Struthio camelus: one gene and its partners. The protein of the gene in region 1 interacts with the protein of each later gene in a biochemical or structural test. Links are inferred from orthologs where the notes say so. Each region holds a gene or a part of one and is shown on either strand. Other genes may lie near its edges.

Region 1 (7,584 bases):
TGTTGGATTGGGGTCAGGTGGCTGGGATGGGTGCTCCCTCCGTTGTGCTGCGGAGGCTGGGAGCCCTGTGCCCACGGTGGGGTACGGAGGTGGGGGCTCCCAGGCTTGCAGTGCAAGGGGCTGGCAGATAGGGTTGACTTCCAAGAGTTGCTGGAGCCTTTTGGGGTGCAACCCTGCTCCAGCTGCCCCCTTCCAGGGCTCCGGAGAGAGCTGGGAGCCCAGCACCCAGGCCAGAGCCGTGCCGGTCGCGCCAGGCTGGAGCGGTGCCTGTGGCGCTGGCCGGGGGCCACTGCGGCTCAGCTGGGGCCGTGCCTGTCCCGGGGGCCGCGGCGGGGGCCGGGGCACCTGTTGCCAGAGAAGAATGGCGCGTCTGGTGGCGGGTGTAGGAGGTGTAACCGGAGCGGCGCGTTCCTGGCCGTAACCGGAGCCGGGCAGGCTGAGCTGCGACAGGTGGAATTTCATTTTGCAGCTCCAGCCCCGGCAGCGGCACATGGGGGGTGCCGGGGGCCCCGTGCCGTGGGGGCCGGCGGCAGCTCCCCGGAGCGCCTGTCTGCGCCCCGGCGGGGATGGGGAAGCAGGGTGGCACGCCGCTTGGTGTGGGGTGGGCAAGGGACCGCCGTGCTCGGGGACGATGTGGAGCAGGACGTCGTCCCCATGGGGCAGCGCAGGGCTCGCAGCCAGCACCGGGGCCCTCCCCGGTCGTGTGCCGGTCCGGCCCCGGGTTTGTCTATGCAAGGGGAAGCGGAGGCTGCCCAAGCGGGTCTGGCTGGGGGGCGCTGCCGGGGATGGGGGTCCCCGCTGGCCCATGGGGTGCTGGGGCTTTGGGGTGCTGGAGACTCCTGCGTGGGCCGGAGCTGCCCCCCAGCGCGCTGGCCGGGGTGGCTTTGCGCCCTGGCGGGGCCGGGGCAGCCCTGGCTGCGGCACGCGCTGCCCGTGCTGGAGCGTGTGCAGCCGGCTCCGGCCCAGCAACATCCGCTCGGCTGGGGCATGATTCACGCCTGCCCGGGGACGTGAGAAACGTGACGCTGACTCAGAGGCCGGGATGCTCTGGGAATACAGGGAGGGGGTCTCGCCGCCGGCCCTTCCCGGGGGGCACCTCGCTGCGCCCCTCCTGGCGGAGCCGCGGCGGCCCCGGGGCTGCCCGGCTGGGGAGGCACCGGGGTGGCCGGGGCCGTCGGCCTCGCGTGTGAGGCCGCCCCGGCCGCTTTGCTGACAGCAGTGAGGAAACCGCAGGCTGTGACCGCATAGCGGATCCGCGGGCGCTTCCTGCCATGCCCGTGGGGGAGGCGGCGAGGGTGCCCAGAGCCCCCCCCCCCCCGCCCCCCTTGCTGGCGCAGCCGCCGCACCGGTGCCCCGTCCCCCAGCACCGCGGCGCGGGCCCCGGCTGCGGCTCGGGGTGCCCCCGTGACCGTCCTGGCGAGGCCGGGGGCCGCGGGGTGCCCGGCGCGGGGAGCGGGGCCGGGGCAGCCCCGGCTGGGGTCCAAGGTGGCGTGGGGCCAGAGCTGAACCGAAACCCGGCGGCCCCGGGAATCGAGAGCGGCGAGGGGAAGCTGCGGCCGGGAGCGCTGCGGTCGCAGGCATGACAGGAAGGGCTCGGTCACTGGGTTTGCCCGCTGTCCCGATAGGCACCAAGAGCGCAGCCTGGATTTGCCATTACCCTGGCCCCGGTGGCCCCCGCGGTGCTAGCCGGGCAGGGCGGTGCCCGCGGCGCCGGGTGGCACCCCGGCCCTGCTCCCTGGCGTGTCACATCCGGGGCACTGGTGCTGGCATCGCCGCGCGGCCCCGGCAGGAAGCACGCCTGGGTTGGGTGGCATGAGACGGGCGGCGCGCCTGGGGGTTTTGGGGTGCTGGCTGAGGCTGGGCCAGCTCTGCACCCTCCCTGCCAGCCCCTCCTGGCCTGGACGGTCCCCCCTGCATTTCCGTGGTCCCCATGGGGCAGGATGGGGATGCCGCGTGTCCCTTCCCAGGGCTGGCAGGTGGTGCTGGGGATGGCTGCTGGAGACGCGAATCGCGGTGCGTTGCCCCGCTGCAAGCCCTCCTGCTCGGCAGTCAGCGCTGGCCGTGCCGGGCGCGGGGGAGCTGGATGCGACCCTGCCCCGCGAGCGCGGGCAGTGGGGTGGGCTTTGTGCCCTGGTCTTGGGCCTTTTTGGCTCGAGGGGCTGGGGGACCCCAGCAATGTGTCCTGCCCCGCTGCGCGGGGGCTGCCGGCAGACCCTGGGCATGGGAATCGTCTGTCCGTGCGTCCGTCCGCTCCCTGGGGCCGCCCCCAGCCTGGTCGGGAGGTTCCTCGTGGCTGGGATTTGGCCCGAGCTCCATGGCCTTGTTTTCTGCGGGGCTGGAATGAGGCTCTGGATTCCAGGAAGTACCGATTCCCGGCCAGCTCCTGCCGGGGAACTGGAGGAAAAGGCGCCTGCCCGGCCGGGCTGGGGAGGGCGAGGGGGCTCTTCACCGCGCGGGGCTCCCCGCCGCCGGCTGTGCGGCCCCATCCCCACCTTCCCGCTGCCCCCCCAGGGCTTGCCTGGAGCGGGGTCCCTCCGGGACTGCTGCCTGGAGCCCTGAGCGTGGGGAGCGGAGCGCGGTGGTCCAGGGGGATCAGCCGGGCTCTTCCCTCGCCTCTGGTGGTGGGCAGCAGCAGCGAGCCGGAGGGCCTGTGCCCCCTCGCTGGCACGGCGTGCCGGTGAGAGGAGACGACGCAGGACCTCGTGGCCAGCCCCGTGCCGCGGCCCCGCGGCCGGCCGGGCACCGGGAGGGTCTGAGCACGCCGCAAAGGAGCTGCGGCTGCTTTTGGGGTGCAGCGTGGCCGGGCTGGGGCCGAGCTGGGGGGCCAGCCCCTGCCCGAAGCTAAGCAGGCTCTGCCTCGGCCAGCGCACGGATGGGGACCCTCTTTGGGGCCGCGGAGCAGGGCTGCGTCGGGTCTCGGGAGCCCTCCTGGCCGCCCGCGGCGGCGCGCAGAGGCCGGGACGGTCCTGCAGCCGCCTGCCCCCGTCCCCTCTGGGTGAGGGGGCTCGCGGCGGTCGGGCCGCCCCTGGCAGGCGGCGCTGGCGCTGTTCTCTCCCAGGCCCGCGGTGCGCTGGGGGGGCGTGAGCAGGGTTGAGTAATTGGGCCCCGCCGGAGCCTGGCGCCGTGCCTGGCAAGCACTTGGCACCGGCGAACATAAACAGTTCTTCCCGCGCCTCGCTCCCCTCCGCTCCCCCCGGCCGGCCCGGCTCCGGGGGGGCCCGCGGGCAGGCCCCGCGCCGGGCGCTGCCGGGGTGCAGGGTGGCGGGGGGGGGGGGTCTCGTGGCTGCTGCGCCGCCCCCGGGGAACCCACGGGTGCTGCCCAGGGGCACGGCCCCGCGCGAAGGCCGTCTCCTCCCGGCGGCGCCAGGCTGGGCTCGCCGGGGGGGGGCTGCACCCAGGGGCCGGCGCAGGCCCGGCGCGGCGGCACCCCAGGGCAGGGGGTGTCCCGTGCCCCGCGGCAGGGTGACCCACGCGGGGCTGCGGACGGGACCCCGGCATCGCCTGCCCTGGGCACCCACGCCGGCGGGCAGCCGGAGCGCGGGCGCCGGGCACCGCCGGGGCCGGGAGGAGCGCGGGGCGCCCTGCCGGCGGGTGCACCCTGCCCGGGGTGGCCGGGAGCACCCCGGCCCGGCCCCGGGGGGCAGGCGAGGAGCGGGCAGGGCCGTGCCCGTCCCGGCCCCTCCCCAGCGCCTCGCCGGGCGGCCCAGCCTTGTTCCTCTGGATCCTTTTCCGCCTCCGCGGGGCCGGGAGCCAGCGCTCTCGGCAAATAAACATCCCCCGCCGGGCCTCGCGCCAGCGCTTAAATAAACAGCCAGCCCGGGATTGTGAAAGCCCCGTGCCCCCCTTCCCACCGGCGGCCCCCCGCCCTCGCCGGCGGCCCGGCTTGGCGCGGGGTCCGTGCCCGGCGCGGGAGCCGCCGCCGGCAGCGCGGCGCGGGGCGAGCGCCGGCCCCTGCGCTGGGCCGGGTGGCTCGAGGCTGGGCAGAGCCGGCGGGGCGGTGGGGAGAGGGGCTGGGTGAGCCCCGGCCCCCGGGGCCGCGGCCAGGCACGAGGCTGAGCCCCCTCGCGCTCGGTGCACGTGTGGCCGGGCAGCGCGTGAGCCGCTGCCCCCGCGTCCTCGGGGAGCTGGGCCGGAGCGAAGCCGCTGTCCTCGGTGGACGCCGGAGCGCGGCGGCTCCCTCGCGGCGCCCCGGGGCCGGGGGCGCGCGGGGACCCTGCCCCGGGGGTGCCCCTCCGCCGCCCCGGCCCGCTAAGCCGGGCATTAGAGACCTGCCGCCCCGGCTCTCGGCGTCGTTAACCCGGCGGGCAGCGCGGGGCCGGCCCCGCACGGCTGCCTCCTCCCGGCGCCTGGGGAAACTGAGGCACGGCCGCGGCGGGCGGGAGCGGGGTCGGGGTGTGGGGGGGGGGAGCCGGGCGCCCCAGCCCCGCCGCCGCCGCTAACGCCTCTCTCTGCTCCCTCCGCAGCCGTCGCCGGAGCCGCTGCCGCCTCCTCGGCCCCCGGACGCGCCGCGGACCGCCGGCGGGCAGCGGTGAGGCCGTGGTGAGCGCGCCGGGCCGGCCGGCGGCCCCATGCCCTGCCGGGCCGCGGCGCCCCGCACGTGAGGCCGCCGCCGCGCCGGAGCCGCCCGCCATGGCCAGCAACAGCAGCTCCTGCCCCACGCCCGCAGGGGGGCACCTCAACGGCTACCCCGTGCCCCACTACGCCTTCTTCTTCCCCCACATGATCGGGGGGCTCTCGCCGCCCAGCACCCTGGCCGGCATCCCGCACCAGCTGCCCGTCAGCGGATACAGCACGCCCTCGCCCGCCAGTGAGTACCGCCGCGCTCCGGGACGCCCGCGGGGACCCGGCCGGCCACCGCTTCCCCCCCGCCCTGCCCCGCGCCGGGGGCCGCCGGGCCGGGGGGCGTCCCCCCCCCCGCCGCTTCGCCCGCCCTGAGCTTTATAAATAGCTGCAATAACAGGAAACAAAAGGGCCGAAAGGATAAGCAAACCCCTCGCGGCACGAAGGGCCCCGGGTCCGCCGCGGTCCTGCCCCGGCGCGGGGGCGAGCGCTGGGGAGCCGCCGGGACCCTTCCCCCCCCCCCCCATCCGTGGGGAAACTGAGGCACGGTGGTGGCCACCGGGGGGGTTGATCGCCGCAGCCTGGCCCCGTTCGTTAAGGGCGGTGTTTGTACCCCGGCTGCTAACGGCGCGGGAAGCGGCCCCGGCTCTTTGTTCGCCCCCCCCCCCCCGGTGCGGCGGCGGCCCCGGCCCCGGCCGCCTGCGGGGGAAGCGATAACCGCAATCATCGCGTCTGCTCCTGATTCAATTTGCCCCTGACAGGCTCGTCCATCACGGGGGCCGGGGACCGGCCGCGGCGCGGGAGCGGCTGGAGCCGGGGAGGGGGCCGCGCCTGGATCCCCCCTCGCAGCCCTCGGCCCGCCGCCTGCCTCAGTTTCCCCGGCGCTGGCTCCGGAGGGGGCGGCCGGCCGGCAGCGCCGCCGGCGGGGAGGGAAGCGGGCTTGGCGGCGGCACTGCCCCGCGCGCCTGTGCCCCCCCACCCCAGGGTGCCGTGGGGTGCCGGGGCGGGGGGCAGCCCCCTTCCCGGGCGCCCCGGGGCGCGCGCCGCCGGGGAGGCCCCCGTGGGTCGGGGTGCGGCGGGGCCCGGCCCCTGCCCGGGGGGGCCGGTGCAGGCCTGGGCAGGGCCGGCCTGGGGCGCTGTCCCCCGCCGGAGCCGCCCCGACGGCACTGGGACCTAGTGGGACCAGTTCAGCCACTGGGTGGCGGTGGGTGGGGCCCCTCCCCCGCGCTTGCTCGGGGGCCATTCCCGTTGCACGGCATTGTGGGAACGGGGGGGGTGCGCTCACCCCCCCCCCCCCGCTCCCCGGCACTGGGGACGGTGTGGGGGGCATCGCCGGGGTGTCGGGCAGGCCTGGAGGTGCCCCAGCGCCCGGACGCCTCGGCTCCCTGCTGGCACGGTGCCTCGTGCCTCAGTTTCCCTTTGGCCTTACTGCGGGCAGGGCGGGGGGTGTCACCTGTGGGGTGCAGCGGGATTTCGGGGAAGGCCGTGTCTGGGGGATGCCGCGTCTGGGGAAATGCAGAGTCCCGGGATGCCGCGTGTCCGGATGGGCCGGGGTCCCGCGGGATGCTGTTCCGGGAGTCCGCAGGGTCCCGGGGGAGCTGCAGGATCTGGGGGGCCGCGCAGAGCCCTCGCGCTCGGCCCCGGCACGCCGGGCAGGGGCCGGCGTCCCCCTCGGTGCGGCGCTGGCCCGGGAGCGACGTCCCCGCGGAAGGGAAGTGCTGCGGGGTCAGCGTCCGAGCTGGGAGGGAGCCCAGGCGTCCGGGGAAGGGCCGCCGACCCCGGGGCCGGGGCTGGGAGAGCGCGGAGGAGCCCCGCGCGGGCGGCCCCCTCCTCGCCGCGCCGCGCACCTCCCGTCCCAGCGCGGCTGCCGGCCCGCCCTCGCCAGATGTGCTGCAGCTGCGCGGCGGCGGCGCCCCGGCCGGGCCGGGCCGGGCCGGCGGCGCATCCGGAGCCGCCGGGAACGTTCCAAGGCGTTTGGGCTGCCGGCGCCGTATCCGGCCCCCTGGGAAGCCGGGGCGGCCGTCTCGCTCCCCGCGGGCCCCGCGCGCCCCCCTCCGCCTGCCCCGCGCTCCTGCTGGGGGGCACCGGGGGGCCGGAGCCCGGCCCGTCCTGGGCACCGCGGGCCGGGGAGCCCCCGCCGGCCCGAGCGCTGCGGTTCCCTGGCGCGGGGTGGGGACGGGCGCCCGGCTGCAGCCCCGCGCCGGGCACGAAGGGGCCCAGGCGTGCTGCACCGGCTGCGGCGGTGGGGGCGGGTGCCCCCTCCGGGCTGGCGGTCCCGCGTGCCTGCGGGCTGCGTTGGCGCTCGCATGCGTGGCGGGGCGCGTCGCAGCCGGTGCGGGGCGCGCGAGCCTGCCCAGCGCCGCTTGTGAGCGCGCGAACCCCGCGTTGTGTGCAGAGCTGGCTGCGCGGGTGCCCGCGTCCATGCGCGCGCAGCCGGCGCTGCCGGTGTCTCCACGCGCCTGTGCGCGTGCCCTGCCTCCGGGGCAGCGCCGGCTGTGCGTTCAGGCGTGTGCACGTGTGCGAGCGTGCTCGGCGCATTCGGTGCGGCACTGGCTGGGTGTGCATGTGTGTGCACGTGTGTGAGCGTGCTCAGTGTGTTCAGTACAGCACTGGCTGCGTGTGCGCGCGTGCACGTGCGTGTGCTCGGTGCCTCGGGTGCCGCGCCGGCTGCGTGTGCGCGCGTGCACGTGCGTGTGCTCGGTGCATTTGGTGACGCGCCGGCTGCGTGTGCGCACGTGCACGTGCGTGTGCTCGGTGCATTTGGTGCCGCGCCGGCTGCATGTGCGCACGTGCATGTGGGTGTGCTCGGTGCCTCGGGTGCAACGCCGGCTGCGTGTGCGCGCGTGCACGTGCGTGTGCTCGGTGCCTCGGGTGCAACGCCGGCTGCGTGTGCGCGCGTGCACGTGCGTGTGCTCGGTGCCTCGGGTGCCGCGCCGGCTGCGTGTGCGTGCGTGCACGTGTGTGTGCTTGGTGCCTCGGGTGCCGCGCCGGCTGCGTGTGCGCGTGTGCACGTGTGTGTGCTCG
Region 2 (7,057 bases), on another chromosome or scaffold:
GAGAACACTGGGGGAATGGGGAACAACGGGGGAACAGGGGAATGGGGAACACTAGGGGGAAATGGGGGAACACTGGGGGAACAGGGAACACTGGGAGAACACTGGGGGGAATGTGGGAACACTGGGGGGAATGGGGAACACTGGGGGGAAAAGGGGAAACACTGGGGGAACACTGGGGGGAAATGGGGGAACACTGGGGGGAATGGGGAACACTGGGAGAACACTGGGGGAATGGGGAACAGTAGGGGTAATGAGAGTAATGGGGAATACTAGGAAGAATGGGGTAATGGGGAACAATGGAGGAACAGGAAGCAATGGGGGAACGGGGAACAGTGGGGCCAATGGGGAACAATGAAGGGAATGTTGGGAATGGGGGACAATGGGGGAATGGGGAACACTGGGGGGAATGGGGAACAATGGGGGGAATGGGGAGCAAAGGGGGAATGGAGGTAATAGGGAACACTAGGGATAATGGGGGGAATGGGGAAGAATAGGGGATTGGGGAACACGGGGGGAATGGGTGGAATGGGGAACAGTGGGGCTGGTGGGGAACAATGGGGGAATGGGGAACAATGGGGGAATGGGGAACAGTGAGGGCAAGAGGGGGAGCGCAAGGGAATGGGGGTCCTGGGCTGCTAATGGGGAAGGGGTTCCTAACGAGGCGTGATGGGGGGGGCTTAATGGGCAGCAAAGGGGTGCTAAGGGGGAGGGCCTTCGCCCCGACGTCCAGCACAAAGAGCGGCGCGTGCCGAGCTGGCCAGGACTCAGCTCCGGGGGCCGGCGGCCCCCAGCCGGGCCGCGCGGGGAGGAGATAAAGCCCCAAAGCTCTGTCGGCCGCGGGGCCGGGCCCTCTCCCGGCCCACCCGGGGGGAGCAAGCGACGGGAGCAAGCAGGGATTTGGAACCTGATTTTGGAGGGGGGGGGCTGAGAAACGAGGATGGATGGCGATTCCAGCCGGGGGGGGGTGGTATTCTGCTCCGGAAAGGCTGGGGAAAAAGGAGCCATGTCACCTCCCCGGTACCCACCAGCCAGTGCCGTGCCGATGGGGAAACTGAGGCACAGGGCCGGGCCCCGCTAAGCTCTCCGGCGTCCGCCGCTCAGCGTCCCCACGTGTCTCCCCCCCCCCCAACCAAGCAGCTCGGCGCAGCCCCCAACCCGGCCTGTCCCGGTGCCACCGCTGCAGGGGCTGGGGGGGGACGGGGGGGCGGCCGCGGGCCCCCGCCGGTCCCAGCTGCTGGCCCACGAGCTGCTGACGCCGCAGTCCGCGGGACGCGGGCCCGGATGAAAGGAAAAGCCGTGTTTGCTCGGCGCTGGCGGGGGGGGGGGGGAGTTGAGGGGGGGGGCGGCCCGGCCTCCTCCCCGGCCCCGCGGCAGCTGCGGCGGCGACTTCCAAGGCCGCAGCGGGATTTGCGGTGAAACTCCGGCCTCTTCCCTGCCGGCAAGGGATTGGGGGGGGGGGGACGACGACACCAAAGCGACCGCCCGGCTCCGGAGGTGCGCACCGCAGGGACAGCCCCCCCGAGCAGGGGGGGGGGGAAAGGGGGGCAGGTCCCACGCTGGGGGCTTTGCGGCCGAATCGGCCCGAGGCGAGGGGGACAAAAAGGGCTGACGGGGTTTGAAAGACCCTTGGCCAGCGTAGGGAGCCACGGCTTCGCCCGGCTCGCGGGGGGAAACCGAGGCACGGGCGAGCTGGGCCATCCCGGCCGCTCTGCTCCGACCACATCCTCCCTTTCCGCGGAGATGTGGAGTTAACGGGCTCACGGCGGCAGCCCGGCTCCCGGGAATCAGACGCCCCCCGGGACGCGCTAGCACCCCTCCGAAAACCTCTCCGAAACGTCCCGGCGTCTCCCGAGCTGGCCGGGCGAGGGCTGGGGTCGGTCGGCAGCCATGCGGGCCGGCGCGCCGGCTGGGAGGCAAAGGGAGGGGAAGCGGGTTGGAAAAAGCAGGCTGCCAACGCTCCCGCGATTTCGGCTGCTCTTTCGCTTTCAGCTGGGGCTTTTTTACAGGGAAGACGAAGCCGTTTAGCGTTTCCAACCCTGCTCGGCCTTCCCAAAGCAACCGAACGCCGCCACAGCCGGGCCAATGCTCCTGTCCTCGGCTGCCCGCGGGTCCGACTTCCGCCCAGCTCCGTATTGCTCTCCGCTGCCAGGGTTTTGGGGGAAAAGGCCGGCGGATTTGTTACATGAGAGATGCCGGAGCCGGGATTAGGGCCGGAAGATGTTCCACCGACGCCGAGCCCAGGGAGGGCATGGGTTTGTTTTGTTTCGCTGCGCTCCGTCCGTTTCTTCTCGAAAAAAACAAAAAAAACCCCTCGGTGTTATTTTAATTACTCAGGGGCTTGCAATCTGCTGGCGGGGGGGGCAGGCTGCCGCGGGCCGAGTGCCGGGAGGGGGAAAGCAAAAATAAAACAGTTCCGCTGGAAGCGGGGTGAGGTCATGGTTAGCGACGGCAGAATTTTCCAGCTGCTGAAAGAGGGGAACGATGCAAAAAAAACCAAAACAAAACAAAACCAAAAAAAAAAACCAGGTCACTTAACACAGCATTTGGAAGGACAGCAGGGGCACCGCGCAAAGGATTTGCCCGAAACTGCGACCTCTGACTCCTCGATCGGAGCGGAGCCTCCAAAACCAACACGGGCAGCGCGCGGGGAGCGGGGAAGCGGCGCTCCGTCCCGCCGGGATGGCGGCAGGACGCCCCGCTCACGCCGCCGCCAGCCCCGGCGTCCCGCCTCGCCGGCGGGGCGCATCAAAGGGAAGCGGGGGGCCGAGCCAGGCGGGATGCGAGGGGCCGGGCGGCGGGAGGCGGAGGCCGGACGGCGACTCCGCGCGCCGCTTCCCCGCGGCCTCTGCGCGAGGGCCAGGAACGTCCCGGCCCTTCGAGGACCCGGCCGGGAGGAAAACCGCCTCGTTTCGGGGCAGTTACTCCTTGCGGGACCCCGAGCTGGGCCCTGTCACCGCTCGCCCCGTGGCTCTCTCTCCCTTTTTATAAACCTGGCACAATCTGGGGGCTTTTGTGGAAAAAATGACACCCCCCCACCACCACCCCTCAAAGCACCTTTTGGCCCCCTAACACGGTGCTGCCACAGGGCAGCTGGCACCCGTGGAAGGGAGAGGATGAGGCACCGCGACAGTGACGGCCTGTCACAACGGGGCTGTGGGGACGGCACCCGGCTGAGGCGCTGCCGTGACAGGCCACGTCGCAACAGGGAGTCGAGGGCCTGCCGCCATGACAGCCCCCCCCTCCCCCGACACGCTGCGAGGAGGGTTCGCGTGCGGCGTTGTGACGGGAGGAGGATGGGACTAGAGGGAACGGTGGCACTGTCGCGACACGGCCCCGGCCAGCCTGGCCGCCCCGGAGGCGGCAGCTCGGGCCCCTGCGCTCCCCGCTCGGGACAAGGCGGCGGCTGGGGTCGGGGCGGAGCCAGAGCCAAAATGGCGCCTTTTCCGCCACATTCCCAGCGCCGCCAAGCCGTCCCTCCAAGGGCGCAGCCCGGCCGTTCGCCCCGCCCCCACCCGGCGCCCATTGGTCAGTTTGAGACGGATCGCCGTTCTCATTGGCGAGCAGCCCCGTTCCTGCCGACCCATCCGGCCTCGGATTGGACAGTCAGCCGTCAATTTCCGAGCCCGCCTTCTCCAGCCGCGCGGGCAGCGCGGCTGCCCGGAGGCCAGTTGGCGGGTCCTCACGCCAGTCATGCCTCCGCCCCGCCTCCCGCGCGGGACCGCCGCCCATTGGCCGTGGCACGCGCCCATCCCGCCGCGGTTCACGCCGCCTTGGCCGCTCCCATACGGGGTCTCCCTGGGAGCCCGCGCCGGCGCTGATTGGCCGGCCCTCACGCCAGCCCCCCCCTTCCCCTCCCCCGGCCGCCAGCGCCCTCCCGCGCCCCCATTGGCCGCCGCCCGCGGCGCCCCCCTTCCCCCACGGGGCGGGGTCGCGGGGGCGGTGCGGCGCGGCCCCCCCTCCCCCCGCCGCCGGCCCGCCCTCGCGCCCCATTGGCCGAGCCGCCCGCCACTCGCCCGCCCGCGGCGGCGCCCCATTGGCGGGCCCCGCGGCGGGGGGCGGGCCGCGGGGCCGGGGCCGCGGCGCGCGGCTCCCTCCCTCGGCAGCCCCTTGGCGGTCACCGGCGGGGTTAGGCCGCCTCGTCAGCGAGCCGGGCGCGCCCGCCCCTCCTCCCCCCCGCCCCGCCGCCGCTTGGGCTCGCCCCCCCCCCCGGCCACCATGAGCGGTAAGGACGGGCCCACCGCGCCGGCGGGGGGGGGGGGGCGAGGGGCGCGCGGACACACCACACACACACACACGCCCGCCCGCTCGGAGGGGCCAGCGGCGGCCCCGCCCCGCGCCGGGCCGGGCCGCGCCGGGCCGGGCCCCGCCGCGCCGCGCCGGGGGGACCTGCCGGGGGAGGGACCCGGGGGAGGGGGGAAGGCCTCGGGGGAGGGACCCGCGGCGAGGGAGGCCGGGCGGGGGCCGGCGGCCGTTCAGCCGTGCCCTCCCTCCGCCCCGCCGCCGCGGGAGGGGGGGGCCGCCGCCGCCGCGGCCGGCGCGGTGGGGGGGGGGGGGGAAGGCGCGGGGAGGGCCCGGTGTGAGGAGAGGGTCACGGGGTGGGGGGGAGCCGGGCCTGGGCGCGCCCCGGTTGGAGGCGTGGGCCCGGGCGGGGGGGGGGGGGGAAGCACCGGGGAGGGGGTGTTTATGCGGGGAGATGCCGGGGGTGGAGCAGGGAGAGGGGAACACACCGATGAAGGGGTATCCCCGGGTGAGGGGGGAGCCTTAGGCAGGCGGATGCATGTGGGGTGGGGGGAAGGAGCCCGCCGAGGGGTGAGGGAGAGCTGTGGGGAGGGGACCGTGGGCTAGGGGGGGATCCATGGGGTGGGGGAGAGCCGTGGGGAGAAGGCCCACGGGGCGAGGGGAGAAGCCGAATTAGAGCGTTTTGGGGGAAGGAGCTGTCGGAGAGGGGAGGAAGGCCCTACGAATGACCTGGGGGGACCTGGAGGGAGGTCTGCAGGGGGCCTGGCAAGGGGTGCTCGAGGGGCAGGAGTAGGGGGCACAGGCCCCAGTTCTTTGGGGGTCAGGGGTTTTGCCAGGGAAGGAAGGTTTCGTGGAGGATTGTGAGGGGCTGGGGGGGGATCCAGGAGGATACGGATTTGAGGGGGAACAGAGACACCGGGCAGTGGGATCACGGGGAGCGCAGATGGGGAATCCTAGCCTGGATGGGGCCTCTCCAGACGGGGATCCCTGGGGAAGCCAGTGGGCTGGATCTGCCAGGGGAAACCCCTGGGCAGGGCAAGGAGAAAGCCTCAGGGGGTGGATCCGCGGGGTGCCGGGGCCAGCCAAGGAGGGCCTGAGCGGGAGGTGTGCTCCCAGGCTAGCGGAGAAAGGGAAAGGGGAGGCCCGAGGAGAACCGAGGGGCCAGGGAGTGTCCCGAGCAGGCAGGGAGGAGCTGAGGCCTGGAGCGCGGCCTGTCCCTCCTCCGCCTGTCTCCGTGCCAACTCCCCTTTGGCAGCTCCCTCTGCTTCCCAGCCCCTTCTCGCTGGTGCCGGAGCAGCACTCGGTCCTCCCAAAAGTGCCTACCAGAGTGCCTTCACCTCTCCCTGCCCCAATCCCCTGCTTTTCCAGCCCCATAACTCCTCTCAAGTCCTTGTGTTCCTCTTCCCCCCCCCCCCAATCCCTCTGCCCAGAAATGTATTTTAACTCCGACTGTTGTTTCCGGCCCACACAGACCAAGAGAGTCCCGAGGAAATGGCTGCAGTGAAGCCCGAGAAGGGCGAAGGAGATGCCAGCAGTAATAGCAGCGGAGGTGGTGGGGAGGGCCAGGTGAGTGCAGGGAAAGAGGCGGTGCAAGGAACAGCCCGAACCTGGCAGCTTCCTGGCTCCGCTCACCCTGGGGACTTGCCGACCTCGTAGCAAAGTCCAGGGCCGGGGCGGGGAGCTGCGCTGAGGTGTTTGTTTGGCCCAGCCAAGCGCTGCACAGGCTCCTCTTCCCAGGGAAAGGAAGAGAGGGCGAGTGAGTGACGGGGGAGCGTCGCGCTGCCAAACACCCTGTTGGAACGTGTTCAGCAGGGAGTGCCAGCCCAGAGCATGTTTCCCCTCCTCCCCGAGTTGTGCATGGTGCTCTTGAAAATAGGCTGTACACCCTGGTTCCAAGTAGCTGCCACGGCCCTGACCAGCCCTTTCCCTGATCTGGGTGCCCAGAAACAGCTGTAGGAGTTGTTCTCCTGTAGTGCTACAAGGAGATTCACTCGCTTTGGAGTGGAAGAAATGTGTCTCTTTGGGTTTTACATGCAAACTCCCTCCCCTTTCCTCCCCACCGGAGGGTTTTTCACTGTGGGTTCAGTTTGTCCCGGCCTGACAGCCCTGTGTCTGGCAGTTGTATTTTTCCGGCTGTGGGTGGGTTTTCTCAGGAAGGAGTGTTTATCTTTTCCAAGTACGCTCCTCCCTGGCTTCTCTTTTTTTTTCGGCCTGCCCACTGGGCCGCCTCCTGTGTCCTTAACTCCTCCTCTCCTTCCCAGGAGTCCCAGCCTTCCCCGCTGGCTCTGCTGGCAGCCACCTGCAGCAGGATCGAGTCTCCCAACGAGAACTCCAACAGTTCCCAGGGCCAGCAAGGCGGGAGCGGCGAGCTGGACCTCACGGCCGCTGCTGCTCAGATTGCCCAATCCGCCAACGGTTGGCAGATCATATCCACTGGCTCCAGCACACCGACTCCTTCCAAGGAGCAGGGCGCCAACGGCAGCAATGGCAGCGACTCATCAAAAAGCCGGCCCGTGAGCGCGGGGCAATACGTGGTCACGGCCGCCTCCAATCTGCAGAACCAGCAGGTGCTGACGGGCCTGCCAGGTGTTATCCCAAATATCCAGTACCAGGTCATTCCCCAGTTCCAGACCATTGATGGGCAGCAGCTCCAGTTTGCCACCACCCCTGCCCAAGTCAATGTGCAGCAGGATGCCTCTGGCCAGCTGCAGATCATCCCCGGCACGAACCAGCAGATCATTACTAGCCGAGCCGGGACGGGTAACCTCATCGCCATGCCAAACCTGCTGCAGCAGGCTGTCCCCATCCAGGGTGTGGG
Region 3 (7,526 bases), on another chromosome or scaffold:
AGCAGGCTCCGGATCACGGGGTAGGGGCCTTGCAGCATGAAGATCTTCTTTTGCTGGTGAGGGACGGCGGTGGAGCTGAGCGCGCTGCCCCGCGCCGCAGGGACCGGGGGGCCGGCGGCAGCCCTCACCTCGATGGCCCTCTCCACGCGCAGCCGGACCCGCTTGAGGCGCTCCGGGTTGAGCGAGGGGCGGCCGCCGCCGCCACCCTCCATCGCCGCGCGCCCTGGGGGAGAAGAGCCCCGGCTCGGCAGCCCCCACCTCGCCGCCGGGCCGGGCCGCCGGGGAGGGAGAGGCTCCTACCGTCCTGCCGCCGCCGCCGGGCGGCCGTGGGGGCGGGCAGCCCCTCCGGGAAGGGGGGAGGCAGAGCCCCTTTCTCCGCCGCCCGCTCCATCCGCATGGCGGCACCTCGGCCCAGCGGCGCGACCCTGGAGCTGCCCTCCTCGCCCGCCGGGACCGGGGGGCTCCGAGGGGGCCGGCGGCGTGCCCGCAGTGGGGCTGCAGCCCTGCAGGCGCAGCCCGCCGCCCCTCACCCCGAGGGCTGCTCGCCCCGCGGCCGCCGGCGGCCTGCCGGCCCCCGAGCCATGGCGCGTCCCGCGGCGGCCTGGGGGCACGGAGAAGCCGCTAGCGGCGCTGCCTCCGTCGGACGCCCCGGGGGGAGAAGACAGGGTGCTCGCTGCCGCCCCGGGGCTGGCGCAGCCGTGGCAGGACGGTGCCGGCAGCCTGGAGAGGCCCCAGGCCCAGGCGCCCGCACGGCTCCTCCGCCCCGCGCTCCGGAGCTTGCAGCGCAACGCGTGCGGCCCCTGCAGCCCCCCTCGTGCCCCCCCAGCCCCTCTCGTGCCCCCACCACCGACACCATCCTACCCCCCAGCCCTCCGCACCAACACAGCCCCCCCAGACCTCCTCATGCCCCCCCCCGACCCCCCTTCATCCCCCATCGTCCCCCACAGCCCCCCTAAATACCGCCCCCCCCGGACCCCGCTGTGCCCCGGCCCGGCCCGCACCGTCGGGGCCGCCCCCGCTGTTTGGCGTTGCCATGGCAGCGCCGCCAGGCCCCGCCCCCTGCGCCGCCAGGCCCCGCCCCCCCGCTCAAGAACCGGCGCGGGGAGGGGGGGGGAAACGGTGTCCCCCACCGCCAGGCAGGAGGGAAGCGAGCAGCCGAGTTACAGCAAACGAGGAATTGTTAAAAAAAAGAAAAACAAAGGGGGAAGGGAGGGGAGGGAAAAAACCAAAGGAGGAACGAAGAGCAGGGAGTCGGCACGGTCTGACACGAGCACGGTTCGCTTCAGGACACCCGGTCCTCTCGCCCGTCCCCGCGGACGGCTCCGTAGCATCTGGCGGCTTCTCCTCTCTTCCGCAGGCGGCGAGGCCGGGCTGCGGCCGGCCCCGCGGGGACGCCGGAGAAGCCAGGGAGCTCAGCACCACGGTTCAGAACTGCAAGGCAAGAAGGGAAGGCACAGGGCCGCTGACTGCCGGCTCCTCGCGCGCTCGCCCTCCCCTCCCGCGCCCAGCGTGCCATCCGCGCTGCGCCGAGGCGGCCTCAAGCCACGTCTGGCTGATCAGCAGGGACGGAGACGAACGATAACTGCCGTTCGGCACTGCTTGGATTGTGGAGCTCTGCGCTCACTTCCCTGCCTCCCCTCGCCCTGGGGACCGCGCAGCTCGTCTCAGCAGTCCGCGTCCCGCAGCTGCCGCTCGCGCCCTAGCAAAGCGCCAGCCCGCTGGCAGCCTTGCAAAGCTGGCGCGTCACGCTGCGCTCCTCTCTCACTGAGGAGGGAGCAAAGCGGGCAGTAGCTCTTCCAGGTACCCCCACCCGCTCCCCACGTGATTCCCCTGCCCCAAAGGGCACCTTCCCAGGGGGCTGCCGCCACCTGCGCCACAGACGGGGACAGCCCGGGGCCAGGCTTCCGCGCGCGAGGGTCACGGCAGGCCGGAGCTGCACCCTCGTCCAGAGACACGGGAACCATCGCCTCCCGCTTTAGAGCCTCACGTTCTTGAGGAACTCCTCTGCCACGATGCGAGCCCTGGCGTTGACAGACAGCTTCATCTCACTGATCTCCTTGTCGATCTCCTCCATGAAATGGATCACAAAGTCCACGAGCTTGTGCTTGTACATCTGCTCTGTGTGGAAGTTTGTGATCAAAAAGCTGATGTCGTAGCCCTGGAGAAGAGAGAAGTGGCAGAAACAGTTAGCGCACCAACCCCGTGAGCACACGTCCTCTTTCGGCTCCGGAGACCCCCCTCTCCCCAGCAGTGCCAAAAGCACAGCAGGATGCTGCTCTGCAGCTCCACGGGTCACCTCACCTCCACAGGCTTCCTGCGCAGGATGAAGAAGTTCTCAGCCCTCATCATCATAAAACGCATGAATTTATGGCACAAGATCTTCTCGATCTCATCAGCCTGCAGAGAGAAAGCAGAAGTGAGGCTTCCTCCAAGCAACACACAAGCCACCAGCCTGTTCCCTCCCCTCCCACCAGCTCACCTGTTTCACTGCAATGCTGACTCGCACAGAGTTAATGGATCCCTCTATAAGGACCTTTTCCTTCTCGTTCCTGCTGATGATCACTGGCTGCAACAGCAGCTCTTTGCTGCTTCTGTGGATGCAAGAGAAGCTCAGCACTGATTAACGAGCACTTGCTGGCCACACAGGGCATGCAAGCAGGGAGCTGCAGGGATCACAGCCAATACGGACACTTGGGAGTTTGTTTTGTGCTCCAACACGATGCTTTCCACCTCCCAGGCACACGCATCATGAAGGCAGATCCTCCCTCCTCTTTGCAGTTTCTCAGCTCCCGGGCTGACCAGCCCCATCGCTGCCTGGTGGCAGCTGCTGAGTGCAGAGGCCTCTCCAGCCTGCACAGTCCCCTCGCGTCAGGCCCAGACATGCTAAGCAAAGGCAGCAGTGACTAGATGGGATTGTTTTTTGGTGTAAAAACCCCAACAAGAATTAACCCATCCCAGTGTCCAAAACCAGGACTCAGTTCCCAGTGTCCAAAACCAGGACTCAGTTCCCAGTGTCCAAAACCAGGACTCAGCTAGGCTCAGGAACAGTGCTGGACTCAGTGCACTAAAACCAGAGCAGAGACCGTTTTCCCCGTGCTGCTAAAGCTGAGCTGGCAGCGTCGCAGCACAACAGCTCCACAGGGACACGCTGGCCCCGGAAACCAGCCAGAGGCAGAGCAGCAGCCCGGGGGCAGCTGCCTCCAACGAAAGGATGGCGGAGGGCCCGAGCGGAGCGGGGGCCCCGCAGGCACAGCCGCCCCCTGGCCGTACCTGACTTCCACCTCGGGCTTGTTGTGGCGCTCCACGACCTGCGAGGAGAAGTTCTCCAGGCACAGGGCGGCCTGCAGCGTGGCGCGCACCGCGTTCAGGTACGGGCGCAGCGTGGCGGTCTGCGGGGACACGGCGTCAGAGCTGGCAAACGGTGCGGCCCACTGCCCCCCACCCCGGCTCGGGCCCCCCCACCCCCAGCTCGGGACTGCCGCCCCCCCAAACCCCCAGTCATCCTTCTCAGGCCCCCCCCACCCGCCTAAAACCCCAGCCCGCCCCAGCTGCCCTCCTCAGCCCCCCCACCCCACCCCAGGCTGGGGCCTTCCGCCCCCCCCCCAAACCCCCAGCTCGCCCCAGCCGCCCCCCTCAGGACCCCCCCACCCCCGACTCGGGCCTGCCGCCCCCCTAAACCCCCAGCTCGCCCCAGCCGCCCCCCTCAGGACCCCTCACCCCCGGCCCCCCCGCCCGCCCCCAGTCCACCCCCATCAACGCCCCCCGGTCCGCTGCCGGCCTAGGCCCCGCCAACCCCCCCGCCAGGTCCCTCCATCCGCCCCCGGGCCCAGCCACACAGCCCCCGCCACCCCCCCCCCTACCATGGTGGCGGCTCCGGTCCGGTCCCGGCAGGCGGAAGTAGCTGTCCCCGGCGGCTCCTCTCTTCCGGGATGGCCGGGAGCTCCCACTGCAGCGGGAGGGGGGGTCGGGGGAGGCTCCCGCCGCGCGCCGAAGGGCGCGGGCCGCACCGAGCTGGCCTCGCCTCACCGCGCAGAGGAAAGTGACGGCGGCGGGCACGGCGGCTCGCGATGGCGGTGCGCGATGGCGGCGGCCCGCTCATCCCCCCCCGCCCGCCCGCCGCGTTGGTATAGTCCCGTCACTGCATCCATATTAGGGAAGGCAAAAAGAGCGTGGGCCGGGCCAATAGGCGACGGGTGCTGGGCGCGGCTCAGCCAATGGGAAGTGTGGGGCGGGGCAAGGCGGGCGCGGCGTTGGCCTACGGAGGCCGGAAGGGACGAGCGGCCTAGGCCCGGCCCCCCGCGGCCCTCCCGGCCGCCCCCGCCCCGCGGCGCCGCCGCCCCCCCGCCCGGCCGCGGCACGCGCTGCCCCGCCGGCGCCTTCCGGGCGGCCCCGGCGCCCCCGGGACCTCCCCGACCCCCCCCCCGGGGCTTCCCTGCGTCCCGGCCCCGCCCCCTCAGCGCCCCGGTCCCAACCCCCCCCCTCCGCCGGTTCCCCTCAGCACCCCGGTTCTCTCCACCCCCCCCCCGCTTCCCCTCAGTGCCCCGATCCTTCTGCCCCCCGCCCCGTTCCCCCGAACACACCCGTGTGCTCCCCCCGGTGCCCGCCGCCATGAGCGAGCTGAAGGACTGCCCGCTGCAGTTCCACGACTTCAAGTCGGTGGACCACGTGAAGGTGTGCCCGCGCTACACGGCCGTGCTGGCCCGCTCCGAGGACGACGGCATCGGCATCGAGGAGCTGGACACGCTGCAGCTGGAGCTGGAGACGCTGCTCTCCTCTGCCAGCCGCCGCCTCCGCGTCCTGGAGGCCGAGACGCAGGTGCGGGCGCCGCCGCCTGCCCCGCGCGGCGAGGGCCGCTGGGGCCCGCCGCCCGCTCCCTCGCCTGTTCGTTCACGCCGAGGGGCTGCGGCGGCCTGTTGGGCTGCCGTTGGTGTGGGCAGCGGGCCCGTCCCCAGGCTGCGCTGTGTGGCATGACATGGTGTTGCTCTCTTCCAGATCCTGACAGACTGGCAAGACAAGAAGGGTGACCGGCGGTTCCTGAAGCTGAGCAAGGAGCATGATGTGGGCACTTCTGTCAAACATGGGAAGCCCAAGAAGCAGAAGCTGGAGGGCAAAGGGGGTCACGGGACAGGGCCTGGCCCTGGTCGGCCCAAATCCAAGAACCTGCAGCCCAAGATCCAGGAATACGAGTTCCCAGATGATCCCATTGATGTTCCCCGGATTCCCAAAAATGATGCTCCAAACAGGTGCATGGGGAACATTTGGATCATCCGTTTCCTTCCTTGCAGCTCCTGGCGAGAGGGCTGGCTTGGACCCGAGGGAAGAGGTGCCCTGGAGGGAAGGGGGGGTGTGAGTCGGCCTTTGCCGCGGCCCACGCTGTGCCTCTGCAGCCCCCCCTTACTGTCCGTTTGCTCCGTCCTCGCAGGTTCTGGGCCTCGGTGGAGCCGTACTGCGCCGACCTCACCAACGAGGAAGTCAGAGTCCTGGAAGAGCTGCTCAAGCCGCCTGAGGACGAGGCTGAGCATTACAAGGTGAAAGATCTAAAGCCCACCCAGTCTTGTAGCCTCTCTTCCTGTCTGTTTTCTAATCCTGGGCCAGTCTCCTGTCAATGCAGTCTTGTGCCTTACAGTGAACGCTCGCCCTGTGGGGATGATACTAGTTTTTTCCTGCAAAAGCAGGAATTTATCTGCACACTTTTCTCTTCTGGCTCCCGTGAGAGAGTGTCTTGGCTGCGGCCACGAGGTAGCAACTTGCTGCCCCCGTTCTGGGGCAGTGCTGAGGTTGTTGCTGTGCGCTTTCCTGTCCTTGGGAGGCAGTGCCCAGCTGTAGTCTGTCTGTTCCTGCTGCAGCGTGGTCCCGGCCTGTGAGACTCGTGGTGTTCTTACATGCAGAGTTCCTGTTGTTACATCCAACTTTGAGCACAAGGGACCTCTCTGGACCCTTGTCTGAGAGACCCCAAGCCCCCTTTCCCTTGTGCCAGCTGCAGGGCTCTGTTTGTTCTAGGGAGCCGAGCAGAAGGATTTTACACGCTCTAGGGAAGAGGACCGGCAGCAGACGGTTGTTTTTGTTGTCACCCGCTTGTAAGCGGGTGAAGAACTGGGGAACGGGGGCAGTTGTGGAGATGAGAAGTAGCAGCCAGGATGGGGTGAGAGACTTGGCTGCTCTCACCTCTGCTGCGTTACACGTGTGGTGCTGTTGGATAGCCACAGTTTCCACACGTGGAGATGACATCTCTGGTCTCGGCTACAGAAGAGCCCTGGGTGAGGGCTCCCTGCCTGATCAAAGACGCTGTGACCAGGGCTGGTGCTCGCGGTACCAGCTCCCTGATCTGGTCGTGTCCTGCCAGCGCTGCGTGTGTGACGGGCCCGTGCCTCTTGTACAGTGGGGATGGCTGAGTCACGATCAGGAAAACGCTCTTCCCGTAGCACGGTTTTAGATTTCACTCATAACGTTGTGGTTGCTCTTCCTGTGAGAGTGCAGCTTGTGGTTGCCGCTTTGTGTAGCTTAAAGACTCGCTGGGGTCTGCGCCGGCCGGTGGCACCGCCAAGCCGAACGGCGCCGGGCCAGCCAAAGGGGCAGGGCGGCTGCCGAGGAGCTCGGCCCTGGAGCTCACGGGCAGCTGCGCCGCCTCCAGGGCCGCGTCTGGAGGTGCCGAATTCTGCCATCTGCTCTGCGCAGGAGCTGTGGGAGAGGAGGGGAGGGCCCAGGCCTTGGGAAAGCGGGAGAGCAGCCCTGGGGATAGGGTTGTAGAGCCCCAGGGCAGCCGGGTACTGGCCTGGCTGCGAGCCAGGTGAAGTGTGCGGGGCTGGGTCCTTGGATGTAGGGCCTGCTCCGTGGCACGGCAGGGCCCGTCTCCTCGTGCCTGAGCTCTGGCGCGGACGAGGGCCCTGGGACGCTGTGCTGACCGCTGCTCTCGCTTGTCCTGTGGTTGCAGATCCCGCCTCTGGGGAAGCATTACTCCCAGCGCTGGGCCCAGGAGGACCTGCTGGAGGAGCAGAAGGACGGAGCCCGGGCAGCAGCTGCTGCTGACAAGAAGAAAGGCATCCTGGGACCGCTGACTGAGCTGGACACTAAAGGTGCCTCCATCCCTGCCTGCGTCTGCCCTCTGTGAACGGCCTGGAGGGGGCTGCAAGGCACCTACACGGAGCACAGCCAAGCCCCTGGGACGCTGGCCCTGCTGCCCTGGGGGTTCCTCCCTTTCCGGTGGCTGCCCTGGGGAGGGCACAACTCGAGCGCAGCTGCAGGGAGGCTCAGGTGGCAGAGACAGAATGGAGTAAAGCTGTCCCTGCAGAGGAGAGAACAGTTCACCTTGCACCGGAGTCCCGCTGAGGCGTTGGCCTCTCCCCTGCTGCTCACTGTTTTCCCTGCTTCCTCCCAGATGTTGATGCCCTGCTGAAGAAGTCGGAGGCCCAGCACGAGCAGCCTGAGGACGGGTGCCCCTTCGGGCCCTTGACGCAGCGTCTCCTGCAGGCCCTTGTGGAGGTGAGAGGGCTCGGGATTGCGTTGTGGCTCTGTCGGGCAGTGTCACT
Region 4 (6,900 bases), on another chromosome or scaffold:
CACGAAGCCAGAGCAATTACCCCGTGGTCAATAATGCCACCAGAACTGTGCAAAGCCGCACGTATGAGATCTAAGTTCTGCTCCACGAGACAATATAGATAAAATCTGAGAACAGAAATTAAAGCGGAGCAAACTTTCAGATAGAGGTTTCAGGCACTGGCTTACGTATATCCCAGGAACTTCAGTGAGGAATTAGCACTTCTCCAAAGTAGCTCAGAACAGCCAGGCCTCATGTAGTTTTGGAACCAACCACCAATCATTTACGGCTTTGCTTTTAAAAAGGAAAGCAGGATTTATTTACACAACTTGAGTCCAGCGTCTCCTAGGATACAGAAATCAAGACATGCATCTCCCAGCCTCTGTTCCCAACTGCAGGACAATCCACAGTGAGCAAAGCTATTCAAATCGCCCAAGTGTAACAGTGTGCGCGCACTGCATTTCCCTCAACATGTTACATCACTCCCTCATTCTACACCAGGAAGGCTTCTGAAATGGCACCACATAAAACATACTGCCTTTCCCACCACCCTCTCCTCTTTTCACATCTTTGATATCAAAGGATGAGCAGGATGGGGGAGAATAAATTCTTCAATTTTTGTTGCGGTTATTACGGTGTCAGAGGCAAGTTAAGAGACTCTTTTGTATTCATCACCTTTTCAGAGGACCACAGAGCATTTTAACAGACACCAGCCAAGGACGCTAACACTTTTCTTCTACAGATAGCACAATAAGACACGGATTTGCAAGAACAGTAGCCTGGACCTCCAACAGCATCTGTCAGTGCTAATCTCCGAAATTCTACTAAAACATAATGCTGCTTAGGTTTTCATTCCCTAGGAGTACAGAGTCCCCAGGAAATCTGGAAGATTTGCTCACTAGTCCAAGGAAAACAGCAGTAGGCGTCATCCTATTCTTACTTTGAAACCATCCACCTTCCCATCCCTTCGCTGCTTTAGTTCTTCCATTTTACAGACTAGACAGAGTATCTTATACGCAGCACTGGCAATCATCTTTGCTAACATTCAACATGGCAGCAGTTCCTGCTTTGCTGTCTGGAGAGTTCCAGTAATCCAGAAAGTTCTTTCAGAAGGCATGTATTCCAGCATTTTTCCTCAATCCTACACCACGATCCAAACTGACTATATGAGCTACAAGTATCTGACCCCCCAGTTAATATCAGCTTCCTTGTAAGACCTGATGTTATCACCTACAGTTTTAAAGCCAGGAGGGCAGGTGAGGGGCATATAGTAAACACACAGCCTCTAGACAACAGAGTCACAAAGTAGTCAGCATTCTGAAAGAAAAGGTAACTGTTGATATACTGGTAAGCACAAGCAAGAAACCTTCAGAAAGTCTCGCTAACTGATGTTTCAATGCTCTGGTCCTTATTTCACTACAAAGAAACTAGTTAGTTTTACAATTCTTGTGCTGGGTCAGGAATACCTGCTGGATATCAAAGACATTCAGTTCTCTCAGGCCAACAAGGTAGCCTCGATCCTCGGGCTTGCTCTCTGGCGTGTTCAGTCCGTACAAATACTGCAGCACAGAGACAAAGGGGCAGCAGCATGTGCAGGGATGTGGACTTTGTAATTTTTCTGAGATGAACAAACAAGGTAACCTGGGGTTATCAACACTGCAGTGTCTGTCACCGTTAAGTCAGAGCGTCTGGCAGATTTGCTTTTCAAACAGGCCTTTGGCCAGAGCGTGGCAAAAACTTGCACCATTGGTATCATTTGAACAAGCCATCATGCCTCACCTCAGATAGGGGTAGCTTATTATTACCTTGTTTCAGAGGTGTATTTCACCAACATCACAGACTGCTGGTTCCCAGGTGTATTGGGAGGAATGCTTTGAGTTATTCAGGAAGGGAAGTCTTAGCATGGCACAGAGAGTATGTAAGTTAGAATGACTTTTTTTTTTTTTTTTAAATACCTTTTCTGCTACTCCATCTTCGCCACCAGTGAAGAAATCAGTTTTCCGCCTCAGGAAACTAAAGAATGTGTTCACAAGCTGTTTGAGGAAACAGAGGGTAGGGGTTGGGGTAAAGAGGAAAAAAAAAAGAGCAATGAGACCAGATCACTCCCAGTCATCCCCTGTCTCCTCAGTAGTCTTTGTTCTTCTTTTTACTTCCTGCCTATGTCTGTGTTAGGATCATATTAGAGTCAAACCCATTACCGTTTCCCAGCAAAAAAACTGAGGACTTTTGTGGAGATCCAGCTTACGGATTCCCAATTTTCAGAAGATGCATTTTTGTGTTTTACATGAAGAAAGGGGAAGCAGTTCATTCTCAGGCCATCTTCCCTTGGAGATGCATCAACTTTGAAATCCCAAGCTGTTACTTAGACCCATCTGACGCTGGAACTTCTTTTTTAATTAAATATACACATACATGTATATAGATACACGTGTATACTATAAATTCACTTCTTTGGTTGTCTAAGCCCTCAGAGCTTGCAAACCCACCTTCCCCAGCTCTGTGACTTGTTTACTTTTACAAAAGACTAACACGTTTGCTACCCACTAACAGCCTAGAAGCAACGGATGGTGGTCTGCGCCCTGCAAGACATGCGACAAGACAGAACTGCCTGTCAGGTGTCCCTGATGAAGTAGAAGTTGTGAACTGACATACTAGAATACACCTGCAAGAAATAATCTCAATGAGTATGGTTTCTCTTTCTTCTTTTCCAGGAATAATGTCTTTGTCAGTATTTCAATCAGAAGCTTCAGTCCAGTAGGAAGAGCTGTTATTAACATCATTTCCCCAGACCACCTGTGGGTGGGGGATGTTCCCCAGAACTGTAGTAATCTAGCTGCATGTCATCACCTAGACCCTCTGAGCAGCCTCCAGCAAGAGTCACATCAGAAAATGTGAGTGCAAAGAGTATCAGTAATGCAGCTACAGTGAGGGAAGGGAAACTGTATTCATGCTTAGGCATACTTCTGCCTATTTTATGACTGCAGCCAACACATCAGGTCTCACAAGGCAGCTCTCAGACGGTCATGCTGAGAGTGTGACAGCTCGACTTGATCCTCCCCATGCAGTGTCTAGTTTCGCTGCAATACGGAGAGGGATCTGCCTTTCCACACGCCTCTAACGCCTCTAGCAAGCCAACGGTGTTAACTTGAACGAGTGCGAACGACCCACCCATAAAACGCCCCAGCTGCTCAGGGGCGACGAGACGGCCGCGGGAGGCGGCAGGAAGCCGAGGGGCATGGCCGGGGCCCCCCAGGCCCTCATCAGCACGGCGCTAATTAGCCCTTCCTCCGCGCCTCCTGGGCTCCAGGTCCCCCCGGGGGCGCCGAGAGCAGGAACCCCCAACGACGGGGCGCTGGGACACACGTGCCCACCGGGGAGGGCCCGGGGCTCCCGGAGACCCTCGTCCCAGGGAGGCCGGGCCGCGGCTGCCTCCGCCCCCTGCCTCGGGGCCCGCCCCTCCCCCACTCACTCCGCCCCCCGCCCCGGGAACACGTAAAAGCTCCCGCCACGGCCCGGGCTCGGGTCCAGGCCCGGCGGTGCTACCTCGCGCACGCCGCCCTGGTGCTGCTGGGCCATGGCCAGGAGCATGCCGTCGAAGCGGTCCTCCTGCTCCGCCGCCTCCTCCGCGCTCAGCCCCATGGTGATGGTGGTGGTAGGGCCCGCCGCCGCCAACGGCCCCCTCAGCCCCTCACGCCGGCGACCGGAAGCGGAAGCGACGCGAGCGGAAGGCGGTGCGCGAGGGCCCGCGCCGCCCGCCAATCCTGAGCGCCCGGCCGCCCCGCTCTCTTCGCGGATTGGCCTTTGCGGCGTCCAATGTGCCGCGGGGAGGCGGGACCGGCGGGGCGCGGGGTTTGGTTGCTATAGCGACGGCCGGTCTGGGCCTTTCCAGAAAGCTCGGCGAGGCCGCGTGTCCCCGGGGGGGGGGTAGGGGTCAAAGGGCAGAGGGCACGTCACGGGAGGGGGGGCTACCTCCCCGAGGTCAAAGGGCAGAGGTCACGGCCGGGGGGGGGGCCAGCTGCTGGGATCCACCCCCCCCCCCGCGGCCTCGCCCTGAGGGGGCTCCAGCCTTGGGTCTGAACCCGCCTGGTTTTGGCGTGACTGCTGCGGGCAGGCAGCCGCGCTGCCGCTCGGCTCTGTCCCGGCGCTGGTTCCGCCAGGGCTGCGAGGAAACGTCCCAGCGCTTTCTTGACCGGGGCGCGGAGGCTTAAAATTCAGCCGGTGTGAAGGGAGGTGACGGAAAGCAGCCTTGTGGAGCGCTGCCGTTGAGCTGCAAAGAAGCCGGCCCGGTCGCCCTCGGGGATCTGCTTATCTGCAGGGACCGAAGGATCCACCTTCTCTTGTGTTCGCTGCTCTCTTCCGTGCACGGCCCCTGCCTGCCTCTTGGCTCTTTTAGGTCTTCCTGCAACTCTTCCCACGCCCCCCTACGTAGGATTTCCCTTCCATTTACAGCACCGGTCTTGTAGCCAGCCTTTCTTCGGGATGAGGTGCCTTAACCCTAAGGAGGGTGAGGTCTTCTGACTCACTGGCTCCTTCCTGCTATAGAAATTCCTCACTTTGTTGCTGGACCCCTTGAAATAAGTAACCAGGTGCGGCCAGACTTTTCTAGACCAACTTCTGTTCATCAAGTGATAAAACCATCTGGCAATTCAAGGCAAAAATGTAAGAACCTGACCCTGCCCTGCCTCGTATTTCCTTTGTGACACAAGATCCTTTGGGCCCTGCCTCAGATTGAATACTATAATCTTTTTAGTTCACTGGGTTTCTCGTCCTTAACTGTGACAACATGAGTCCCTTGTCAACAAGGTTGGGCAAACATCTGCTGATAAAACGACTTCCAGGTTGCTCTTCCCAAGGCCGGAGCATGCAGGCCGTTTGCACCAGGGTCCTCGCTCCAGACGAGTGCCGTGTGTGTGTGTGTGTGTGTGAACTTCTTGGCAGTGACACCTGCCGTATAGTGCTGCCTGATTACACGGCGGGGCCTTGGTGCCATGGTACAGGCTGGGTTAATGACTTTGTTTAAACTGTTTGGGTAATCGTGATAAGGCCGCCCAACCTGCTGTCCTGTCCCCGCGCTGCTGGCCCCGCTGGCACTTCATTGAGAAAACGGCCATTGACGCCATGTGGAGAACTCGTTTGTTCCAGCCAATCAGTCCAGGGATGGCTGTTTTTTTTTTTTTTAATGAGGACCGCTTAATCACAGAGCGGTCAAGGCTATGAAGGGGTGTTTCACTTGTGACTGAGCCTTATAAGAAGAGCTGGTTAAAACAGCTATGGGCTGGCAGAGCTGGGAGGAGAGACTGTGCCCGGGGAGCTTTGATTGCCGCAGGGGGTTGTGACAGTGCCCTTCTGCTTTACGGATCTCCCTCCTCTGCTGCAGCAGGAGCTGAATTTTGCTGAGGATCCAGGCACCCAGCTCGGCTATGACAACCAGCAGCATGGACGTGGACTGCAAGAGGTGCCAGTGCCACAGCGAGGACAACCGCACCGCCATCCTCTACACCCTCCTCAGCCAGAACTTGAACCACAGCCGGGTCAGCTGCAGTCCAGCCCACCAGCGCTGCCTGTGCCACCAGCGCCGGACCGTCTGCCTCCGCACGCCCCACGTCACCTGCCAGGCGGCCTCCAATGTGCTGGTGAAAACCGTCAGCTTCATGAAAAACCTGCCTTCCTTCCAACTGCTGCCCCGAGAGGACCAGCTCTTGCTGCTGGACAGCTGCTGGGTCCCCCTCTTCCTCCTGGGGCTGGTCCAGGAGATGGTGACATTTGAGGTGATGGAGACCCCAGCCCCCAGCATGCTCAAGAAGATCCTTCTCGATGGCCAAAGCAAACAGCAGGAGCCCGAGCGGATGCAACCCACGCTGGCCGCGGTGCAGCGGCTGCAGTGCTGCCTGAACACCTTTTGGAGACTGGATCTGAGCCCAAAGGAGTATGCCTACCTGAAGGGCGCCATTCTCTTTAATCCTGGTGAGTGTCGAAGCCTCACAGCCCTATCTGCTGGTGGGGAGAGAAGGCCCCGCAAGCATGAGCATCTAGAAACACATTTCGTGGCTTGGACTGATTCAGAGCACGGGCAGGAGGAGCTGTGCACGGGAGAGGAGAAGAGGGCTGGTTATCTTATCATGGATACCTAGTATTACATAATGCCGTTTACTGTTGGGAAGTGGGGAGGACAGATGTTGAATGTAGTGCTAAAATCCAGGGACCTTGCCTAGCCTGCAGACAGTAAGGACCCCAGGACTTATTTTGCCAAGCATGGGTTTACCCTGTTAACTATTTTTGCTCCCTCAAAGCAAAGCTGCTACTCAGCAGCCCCAAAGTGGCTACGTCTTAGTAGTGCTGCGTCCATTTAATTAATGTGGCACTCGGAGTCCCTTCAGAGGTAGTTGAAGGGATGGGAATAGTAGAAACTGGAGCTGCTGTGCAGCCTCCTTCTTCACTGGCTTTTTCCTCCTTTCTCTCCATAGATGTCCCGGGGCTGAGGGCCTCCCTGTACATTGAGAGCCTCCAGCGGGAAGCCCAGAGAGCGCTGCAAGAAGTCCTGCGGCCCCTGCACCCCGAGGACCAGGGTCGCTTTGCCCGCATCTTGCTGATTGCCTCCACCTTGAAATCTATCCCTCCTGCACTCATCACAGACCTCTTCTTCAGGCCAGTCATCGGCAATGCAGATATTGTCGAGCTCATCACAGAAATGCTGTATGAAATAACCAGCAGGCAGCTGGCTCCTTCGTCGCGCATGGCGCTCTGAGGGACTGCGCTCGGCTGTCAACCCCACAGACGTCGCCTGCTCCCCGAGTCAAGTGTCAGAGGGCGGCAAAGTGAATCTGGGAGCAAGGTTTAGTGAGGCAGGTGCTCTGTACTTTGCAGGGAACTGGCTTTGTGTGTGTTTCGTTAAGCCTGGGGAACAGCTCCAGAGGCTGTAATTT

The links.
Region 2: the proteins of RARA (region 1) and SP1 form a complex in vitro, tested with the Homo sapiens proteins (2 studies listed by BioGRID). The link is inferred for Struthio camelus from reciprocal best matches to the Homo sapiens genes RARA and SP1.
Region 3: the proteins of RARA (region 1) and TADA3 form a complex in vitro, tested with the Homo sapiens proteins (2 studies listed by BioGRID). The link is inferred for Struthio camelus from reciprocal best matches to the Homo sapiens genes RARA and TADA3.
Region 4: the proteins of RARA (region 1) and NR0B2 form a complex in vitro, tested with the Homo sapiens proteins (2 studies listed by BioGRID). The link is inferred for Struthio camelus from reciprocal best matches to the Homo sapiens genes RARA and NR0B2.

Annotation. Positions count from the first base shown.
Region 1 is NC_090966.1:6,907,296-6,914,879, forward strand, and holds the start of RARA (retinoic acid receptor alpha), read left to right. Parts: upstream 1-4,574; 5' UTR 4,575-4,629; coding exon 4,630-4,807; intron 4,808-7,584. UniProt on the Homo sapiens protein: Receptor for retinoic acid. Retinoic acid receptors bind as heterodimers to their target response elements in response to their ligands, all-trans or 9-cis retinoic acid, and regulate gene expression in various biological processes.
Region 2 is NC_090969.1:3,370,657-3,377,713, reverse strand, and holds the start of SP1 (transcription factor Sp1), read left to right. Parts: upstream 1-4,057; 5' UTR 4,058-4,215; coding exon 4,216-4,222; intron 4,223-4,695; exon of another isoform or gene 4,696-4,747; intron 4,748-5,710; coding exon 5,711-5,805; intron 5,806-6,500; coding exon 6,501-7,057. UniProt on the Homo sapiens protein: Transcription factor that can activate or repress transcription in response to physiological and pathological stimuli.
Region 3 is NC_090955.1:9,933,967-9,941,492, reverse strand, and holds the start of TADA3 (transcriptional adapter 3), read left to right. Parts: upstream 1-4,525; 5' UTR 4,526-4,608; coding exon 4,609-4,815; intron 4,816-4,992; coding exon 4,993-5,243; intron 5,244-5,422; coding exon 5,423-5,528; intron 5,529-6,931; coding exon 6,932-7,073; intron 7,074-7,375; coding exon 7,376-7,479; intron 7,480-7,526. Other genes in the region: tubulin monoglycylase TTLL3, read right to left, coding at 1-53, 129-212; ARPC4 (actin-related protein 2/3 complex subunit 4), read right to left, coding at 1,426-1,431, 1,988-2,158, 2,302-2,397, 2,480-2,591, 3,271-3,389, 3,861-3,863. UniProt on the Homo sapiens protein: Functions as a component of the PCAF complex. The PCAF complex is capable of efficiently acetylating histones in a nucleosomal context. The PCAF complex could be considered as the human version of the yeast SAGA complex.
Region 4 is NC_090964.1:6,806,013-6,812,912, forward strand, and holds the start of NR0B2 (nuclear receptor subfamily 0 group B member 2), read left to right. Parts: upstream 1-3,886; 5' UTR 3,887-5,397; coding exon 5,398-5,941; intron 5,942-6,441; coding exon 6,442-6,722; 3' UTR 6,723-6,900. Other genes in the region: nuclear migration protein nudC, read right to left, coding at 1,933-2,010, 3,521-3,616. UniProt on the Homo sapiens protein: Transcriptional regulator that acts as a negative regulator of receptor-dependent signaling pathways. Specifically inhibits transactivation of the nuclear receptor with which it interacts.